2 linked regions of the Xenopus tropicalis genome follow. The protein of the gene in region 1 purifies or fractionates together with the protein of each later gene. This does not show direct contact. Links are inferred from orthologs where the notes say so. Each region holds a gene or a part of one and is shown on either strand. Other genes may lie near its edges.

Region 1 (3,651 bases):
CCTACATATTTTAAATGTTTTTACTTTAGTTATACAGGTTACAAAACAATTAGCATTTAAACAAACTGCAAACACATTCTGCAGCAGTATTTTATAATATATAAAAAAAGCAGTTATATTCTAAAGCAAAGGGTTTCTTGTTAAACTTTTGCAGTCCTGGATACAGCTGGGATCAAAACAATGTGGTTATTAAATGAAATTTCCCCCCCCCCCCCTTGGATTCGGCCAAAACCGAATCCTTAAAGAAAAAAGGCTGGATTCAGCCCAAATCCCGAACCGAATCCGGGATTCGGTGCATCCCTACTAAAATCTATAATTCATATTTTTGGTTTGAATCTTCAAAAAACAAAGTATATATTGTTGCCAAATTAGTTAAGCACATAGACAGTGGTTTGAATGAGAAACTAGAATATGAATAGGAGATAACAACGATAAAATCGCAAGGACTAGTTTTTTGCATGCCGTGGTCAGTGACCCCCTACTTAAAAGATCAGAAGAAGGCAGAAAATAATTAAAAAACTAGTCAAAAATAAAATAAATAAAAAAGGTTAAGTAATTAGAAAGTAAAAAATGAAGACCAACTGGCAAGTTTCTAAGAATAGGCCATTCTAGAACATACTAACAGTTAACTTAAACGTGAACTGCCCCTTTAAATAAAATAGCACGAGTTATAAGAAATTGAGAATTTTCATGCTTCTACAAAATAGGAAATGTGAGCAAGAGGCAAAATATCTTTTAATGTATTATCACCTGTGCCAAAGTCTTTTCAGAGTCTCCTACATATGGAGAGAAAAGATCTGCTGCGCTGATAGAGAAGAAGGAGCAATGACAACTTGTTGCCACAGCTTTTACTAATGTGGTTTTGGCACATCCAGGAGGCCCGTACAGTAGAACTCCTTTTGGTGGTGTGAGTCCCATCCTACTGAAAGCTTCTGGATACTTCATGGGCCACTCAATGCTCTGAAAGTACAAGCATACTGTTACCTTTATAAAACATAATTATCCAGGTTTGCTTGTACAAAATAAGAGTGCTTTTGCTAGCCAGGTCCTTGTGTTTTTCAGAACAGAATATGGTATAACAAAGTAGAAACATTTACAGTGGAACTATCATGTTTAATCCTGTGTACACCCTCAGCTCATGGGCTGCTTCCATATAAATAGGTTCACACATCTCTCACCAAAATGAAAGGTTTTAAAGTAATAAAAATACAATGTACTGCTACACTGCCCTGGTAACAGTTGTATTTTTGCTTCAGAAACACTACTATAGTTTATATAAATAAGATGCTGTTTAGCCACATTGGCAGCCATTTGAGCTGGAAAAAGGATATATAAGGTTATATAACAGATAACTGTTTTTTTTATTTGTTATCTGATATCTAACCTATGCCATGTAGCCCCATTTCAATGGGAATGACAGATCCTATGACTACACAGCAGCTTTGTTTATATAAAATGATAATAGTGTTTCTGAACAGAATACACAACTTTTACCAGTGAAGTAGTGCAACAGTATATATATATATATTTGAATTACCTAGATACGTATTCATTTTGGTGTTACTGTTGCTTTAACTTCTCAGCTAATGTCACAGTGGTTGTTCTGTGTTTCTACAATAAAAGCCGTTGTAACAAAATGCTAAGACAAATCTGCCAATATAACTATCTATGAACATGAAGAATAAACCGCTGATGCAATTTGACCACTTTTAAATACTTTAGTTCCTTCCTACTACATTGTCAATGCCCAGCAAAACATGAACACCTTTGTTATTGCTCAAGATGTTTGAGCACAGAAAACACTAATTTATTGGCAACCAACTGAAATGACTAACCCTAACTAAGATACTTCCACAGTTTTCCAAAAGTAACAGGAGACCCCCTTTAAGGGCTGTGGCAGCCAGGGAGACTAGTCGCCTGCTACAAATTGTTTTCGGATCCATTTAATATAATGCTTCTAAATTGGTTTATTTATCCAGTCATCAATACTTTTGTAAAGACTGTCAAACTTGCTCCCCCCTAGCCGTTGCACACATAGAACTTTGTCAGACAATTTTATAAAGTTTTCTACAACAGCTCACAATTTAATGAGCCATTCAACCCATAGAAATAAAAATTATGAATTATAGCTCGTAATGTAAGATGTGCTTACCTGTGGGTTGCCTGCGATTAAGAATGGGATACAATAAACATTAAATATAAGGGGTATTTTCCTTTTTTTTTTCCCTAGTATTATTTCAAACATTATTCCCAAAGTATTTGCTCAATTCTAGGTATCATAGTCCACAGTAGCTACAATGGAATGATCTCCTTGCTCCCATAATAACCTGTCTTAGCTTGTGCTTGATATCTTCAAGACCTCCAATATGCTCCCAATGAACTGGCTTAAACTCCACCCGACCAATTGAGCTTCGTGCGGAAGAGGGTCGAATCCTTTTAAATGCTTCATAAAAATGTGCTCTGCTCACTAAATTACACAGACTGTCCTGAAAGGCAAGGAAACAATGTTAGGATTCTAATGCTACCAAGGGTTAGAGTTATATTTCAATAACAGAAAACAAGAAGCACAATGCTTTAAATGAGTGTTGGCTTACATTACCTATAATATAGGACATTTGATCTGAATATAAGGCTCTGGATTCTGCTCAGGTAGTAAATGATTTTACTTCTAATTACAATAAATCTACTACAACATCTTACCAAACTGGCCTGAAGTACAGCCTGCATAGCTGCATCTCTGCACAGGGCAGTGAGATCGGCACCAACATATCCCACTGTCACATCTGCCAAGGCTGCCGCATCTACATCTCTATCAGTGGGCATGTTTGATATCATCATTTCCAGAATAGCTTGCCGTTGCTTATGAGTAGGAGTTCCAATGATTACCTTAAAAATATCAGAAAAACAGATGTTCATGATACCATCAAAGACTTTTGCATTATATAATAGAAAGAGGTCAGATGATTAATTTGGCAATAACATTTGCTCATGCTGTTCAGCTCTCAGCATTTTACTGTGTGAAATAATTCACTAATAATACATTATGTATTACTCCTCCCCAATTTAATTCATGTTTGAGCAGTTACATTCATAATTGATATCCCAATAGAAAAACCTTGCACTACAGTTTAAATACAGGGTGCTCAGTATGTATATTTGGAGTAAAGTAAATAGTGTTAAAGACACAAAAAGAAACTGGCACACCTGTTAGATTCAATAAAATATAACCATTCCTATTATCTTAAAATAAACATAGCTAAAAAAAGATAGAAAAGATAAGAAGGAAAGTTAAAAAATCGAATTCACACCCTGAATCTCAATCAAATGTAACTGACTCACTCGTGGATACTATTACTTAAATTGTTTCTTTAGTATCACCAATGACTTGTGTTGGCAACATATGTAACAACTCTTACTGTGGGTGCGTTAGTTATGCACATGTTACATATGTTGCCAACACAAGTCATTGGTGATACTAAAGAAACAATTTAAGTAATAGTATCCACGAGTGAGTCAGTTACATTTGATTGAGATTCAGGGTGTGAATTCGATTTTTTAACTTTCCTTCTTATCTTTTCTATCTTTTTTTAGCGATGTTTATTTTAAGATAATAGGAATAAAGGCTTTTGTGTCTTTAACACTATTTACTTT
Region 2 (4,268 bases), on another chromosome or scaffold:
AGTTCTGCACAACCTAATGTTCTCCATAACAGGAGACCTAATCTGCACATTATGCATAAACTACTAGTTCTTTTGTGACCAAATGTTTATTTTACCACTGTAAGAACAAATATCTCTCAATTACCTAACCAGTTTCATAAATGCTGTAACTCTTCTGTTAAAAAGCAAAGTATCGCTAACCCCTAAAAAAAAAAAGCAAAGTATCGCTAATCCCTAGCTAAAAATGCAAAGTAGCGTAGCTGCTTACCAACTGAAGACTCTTCGGGTCTCACTGCTGATGCACAGTTAAAGCAGATTTCCTGCTACCTCTAACTGCACATGCGCAAGCAGGTTCGTATCGGCAGAGAGACCCAAAGTCTCTTAAGTTAGTAAGATGATGTCGGCCAGGTACGCTGCTGTGCTACTCTGCATTTTTAGCTAGGGGTTAGCGATACTTTGCTTTTTAACAGAAGACCAGTAAATGCTATCTGCTGATTGATTGCTACAACTAACTAGACCTGTAGTACACTTTGACCAAGATGTTAAAGGAGAAGGAAAGCTAAGAACTTAGTAAGCTTTATCAGAATGGTCTATGTAAATACAGCCATAAGCACTCACAGAGTCCTCTATAAAAAGAAACACAGGATTTCTTGTCTCCTTTTGTGTATACATATACTTTGGTATCTGACTTCCTCTCAGAAAAGTCCTTCATTCAGGGCCCGGAGTCTGTGCAGCTCTTCTCCTCTCTCCTGCTCTCCCCTCCAAAAAGAATTTAAAAGAATGAATCCCCCTCCCATCAGAATGTGTGACATATGCTACTAACAGCTAGAGCTGCAGCAGGAAGCTGTGGAGACCAAGATAAATGGCAGCTGCTTTCTTAAATAAACAGAGGGAGTTTCTAGGGCTGCTTACTCAGGTATGGTAAAGCTTTCTGCAGAATAAATATAGCGTTGTAGCTTGCACTAATGTCGCTAATCTATTGGCAATAAAATGCCAAAATGACTTTCCTTCTCCTTTAAGGTTGATTTTACCTGTGGCAATTTCTTGTGATCCTGGACAAGTTAGTTAAAGGAACAGTAACCTCTAAAAATGAAAGTGATCTTAAAGAATGGCAATATAATGTACTGATGCCCTGCAGTGGTAAAACTCAGTGTTCAGAAACACTACTTTTGTTTATATGAACAAGCTGCTCAGTAGCCATGGGAGCAGCCATTCAAGCACAGTACACACGGTTGATAACAGATAAACTCTGTAGTATACAAATCTGAGTCTGCACAGCTTACCCGTTATCTGTTGTGTAACCTGTGCCTTTTTGGCCTTGCTGTGTAGCCATGTGGGGAGCCATTCAGCTTGTTTATATAAGCTATAGTAAAGTTTCTGAAAAAAAGGCACCAGTTGTACTAGTGCAGTACATCATATTTTAACTACTTTAAAACACTTTGATTTTTGGTGTTCCTGTTTCTTTAATCTTCTGGTGTTTCAGCATCCTTAGGAATACTTAGGAAGACTTTTGCAAACTGTCACTGTGAAAATCCCAACTTTATCAAATTGTCACTGCGACAATTTGAAAAATTAGTAGTGATTTTTGGACAAAACACAGAAAGAACTTTAAGGAAAGGTAAGGGACCTCTGCCTTAGACTTCTACATGAACTCGGCAAGTTTAATCTGCCAAATTGCCAAATTCTGATTTTTAGCCTTTTAGACTCATTGTAAATCTCAGAAGTCGTGTTTTTATTCTGTGAATTTTTTGGAAAAAAATTTGAATCGAGTTTAAAATTTTAAATCGATGGTTAGTAAATGAGCCCCATAGTGTGCCTATAATTGCTGTAAAGTGCTTAGAGCCCCATTGAGAAAAGTGCTCTATAAATTATGCCCTTACACAAGCCCACTGGGGTTTTAAATTGATTATCTGAAAGCAAAAATTACAGTACTCTCAACATGAATACCATACAAAATATGCACCCAATCTGTATTAACAAAAATTGCCTATTGAAAAATGCTTCAACCCCTAAGCCAGTATGACTTGACACTACACCGACAGAAACATACACTGAAAGTGTATGAAAAACACTGTGAAAAAAGGAGTACTTTTTGTGAAATTGACTGTTCTAATTATTGAGTTATATGTGACAAGGCTTGGCCACAGAGGCCGATTTTCCCACTGTAAATATAGGGTTGACCCACCACATAAGAATCAAAACCTGATCTTCAAATAGCATATCTGTGATCAATATAAACAAGATGGCCCTACAGCAATGCACAGCTACCTCCTGGGCTACAATATGGGGCATATTTATTAAGCTGTGTAAAATGAATTCGCCAAAAAAAACAGTGTAAAAAGCTGTGTAAAATAAACGGAAAAGATCGCCGTCCGAACGCCATATTCTACGTCATTATTTCACACAAGTTCCGGTGGAAGAAAAAGCACATTAAAAAAAATTAAGCAGATTCTATGCTATTTTTTACACAGCGAAGCCTGGCGCTGTGTGGCAAATTTTCTTGCTGTTTTTTTTACATAGCATAATAAATATGCCCCTATGTGTACCTTAAAATCTTGTATTCCACCAAAAAACAGCAATGACTGCTGTCACAATTGTAGTATCTTCTAAGGAAGCTTCTGAAGATTGCATTGTGATGCAGATAATTCATCAGAAAACTTACATAAAAAATATGACCACAAGTCGTCTAAAAAGAGGCATAGCTAGAAGACAAGACAAAAAAAATTACTGTCCTGTGAAAGTAAGGTTGTCCAGAAAGCCCTTTTACCTGCAAAAGTTCCTGAGCGTTTGCAACTGCGATCTGCACCTTAACTTGTTCCATTATTGCTCCGGTATCAACTTTCCCAGAGCTAGATCCCCCCACAGAGAAGTCAGCCCCGAACCCGTCCATTTCAACGTTACTGTGACCGGCAGCAGCTCAAAGTCACACACACGTGTGATAAACTTCCTGTTACGCATGAGCCGGAACTTCGTATTTACTGCAAGCAAGGCATCACGGTAAATGTAGTTTATTATACCATGTAGCGTTATTAGTTTAGGTTTATTCGAATTTATAGTAATAGACCTTGTATCGAAAAAATAAGAAGCCTCCAAGACAGAGCTATCTAGAAAATAATAACGTGTAAAACATGTAGTTCCTACAGTTTCTGCCCCGGCCTTTTGCCTGAAGGGTATGCCCCACAAACCAAGGGGAGGACTGTGTGGCCATGAGGCTCCTGTCTCTCCCTGACAAAAGACAGGACTTTGGCCTTGAAGAAACCTGAGGGGAAGCTTTGGCTGAACCTGGGGGAAAGGGACTCTCCCTAGCCATGAGGCAAAGGAGAGTTCGAAGACCCTTGCCCTTTGGAGCCTTTTGGTCCTGGGGTCGGGTATAAAGGGACCCTACCTAGCCTTGACTAAGGACTGGGCACAGGAGATTCAAATAACTGTCACAATCTCAGGCGTGTCCAGCAGTGGCATAACTAAAGTGGAAGCAGACCCTGCAGTTGCAGGGGGGCCCAGACCGCGGGGCCTGCTACCTCTATAAAAATGAAAAAATCCCCCCCCCCTTCACAGCCACTTTCCTACTTGCGGTGGGCGGGAGACTCCAGTGTGGGGCGCTTAGTGGGTTGGGCAGGTTAGGGGGCGGGGGGGGGGGGGGGGGGGTGTCCAAGTGTGTGCCGAGCTCTATCAAATATTTTTTTGAATGGGGGCCTGGTGTACCCTAGTTACGCACCTGGTGTCCAGTCTCCAATTATATGGGTGTCTGTACAAACAAAAAATTATAGATAAGGCTAGGAGGTATGTTGCCCTAGGCCCAGGCCTTTGTGGCCTTCCCACAAATCCAGGCCTGATCCAAATTGCTGGTTTAATAACACACCTATGCTTTAGGCAGACAGCCTGTTTCAATTATTATATATATATCTGTGAAAGATAATGGAACATGGCTATTACATACATGTGCATATTAAAGGCAATGTCCACCTTTAAAACACTTTAATTAAATAAACATTTTTTTTTTAATTTAAATCATATCTGCAATTTTTCGAACGAAAATGAACCGCTTTTAACATATTTACCTAGAAAGGTAAGGCTGAACTGATCTTAATACCCATTTTCTCTGTCTCTCTGCAGCCTTTTCCCTCCCCTTCCTGATGAGAAATCTGACATAGTCACACACAAGTGCTTCTGGACATGCCCCTTCCTTCTAACGTCATTCCTCTGCAGGCAGCATCTTTTACAGGCAAGGTGTCAGCGATCCCCCCTGACTTGTGGAGAGAGTAGATTGCTTATGATCTAAGCAGTGCAAC

The links. Proteins that work in one complex are often made in the same cells at the same time.
Region 2: the proteins of spata5l1 (region 1) and timm13 purify together in Homo sapiens (co-immunoprecipitation; 3 studies listed by BioGRID and IntAct, with this or other methods). This does not show direct contact. The link is inferred for Xenopus tropicalis from reciprocal best matches to the Homo sapiens genes AFG2B and TIMM13.

Annotation. Positions count from the first base shown.
Region 1 is NC_030679.2:104,572,855-104,576,505, reverse strand, and holds part of spata5l1 (spermatogenesis-associated protein 5-like protein 1), read right to left. Parts: intron 2,887-3,651; coding exon 2,701-2,886; intron 2,487-2,700; coding exon 2,328-2,486; intron 961-2,327; coding exon 751-960; intron 2-750; coding exon 1-1. UniProt on the Homo sapiens protein: ATP-dependent chaperone part of the 55LCC heterohexameric ATPase complex which is chromatin-associated and promotes replisome proteostasis to maintain replication fork progression and genome stability.
Region 2 is NC_030677.2:92,869,550-92,873,817, forward strand, and holds the start of timm13 (mitochondrial import inner membrane translocase subunit Tim13), read right to left. Parts: upstream 2,875-4,268; 5' UTR 2,870-2,874; coding exon 2,747-2,869; intron 1-2,746. UniProt on the Homo sapiens protein: Mitochondrial intermembrane chaperone that participates in the import and insertion of some multi-pass transmembrane proteins into the mitochondrial inner membrane.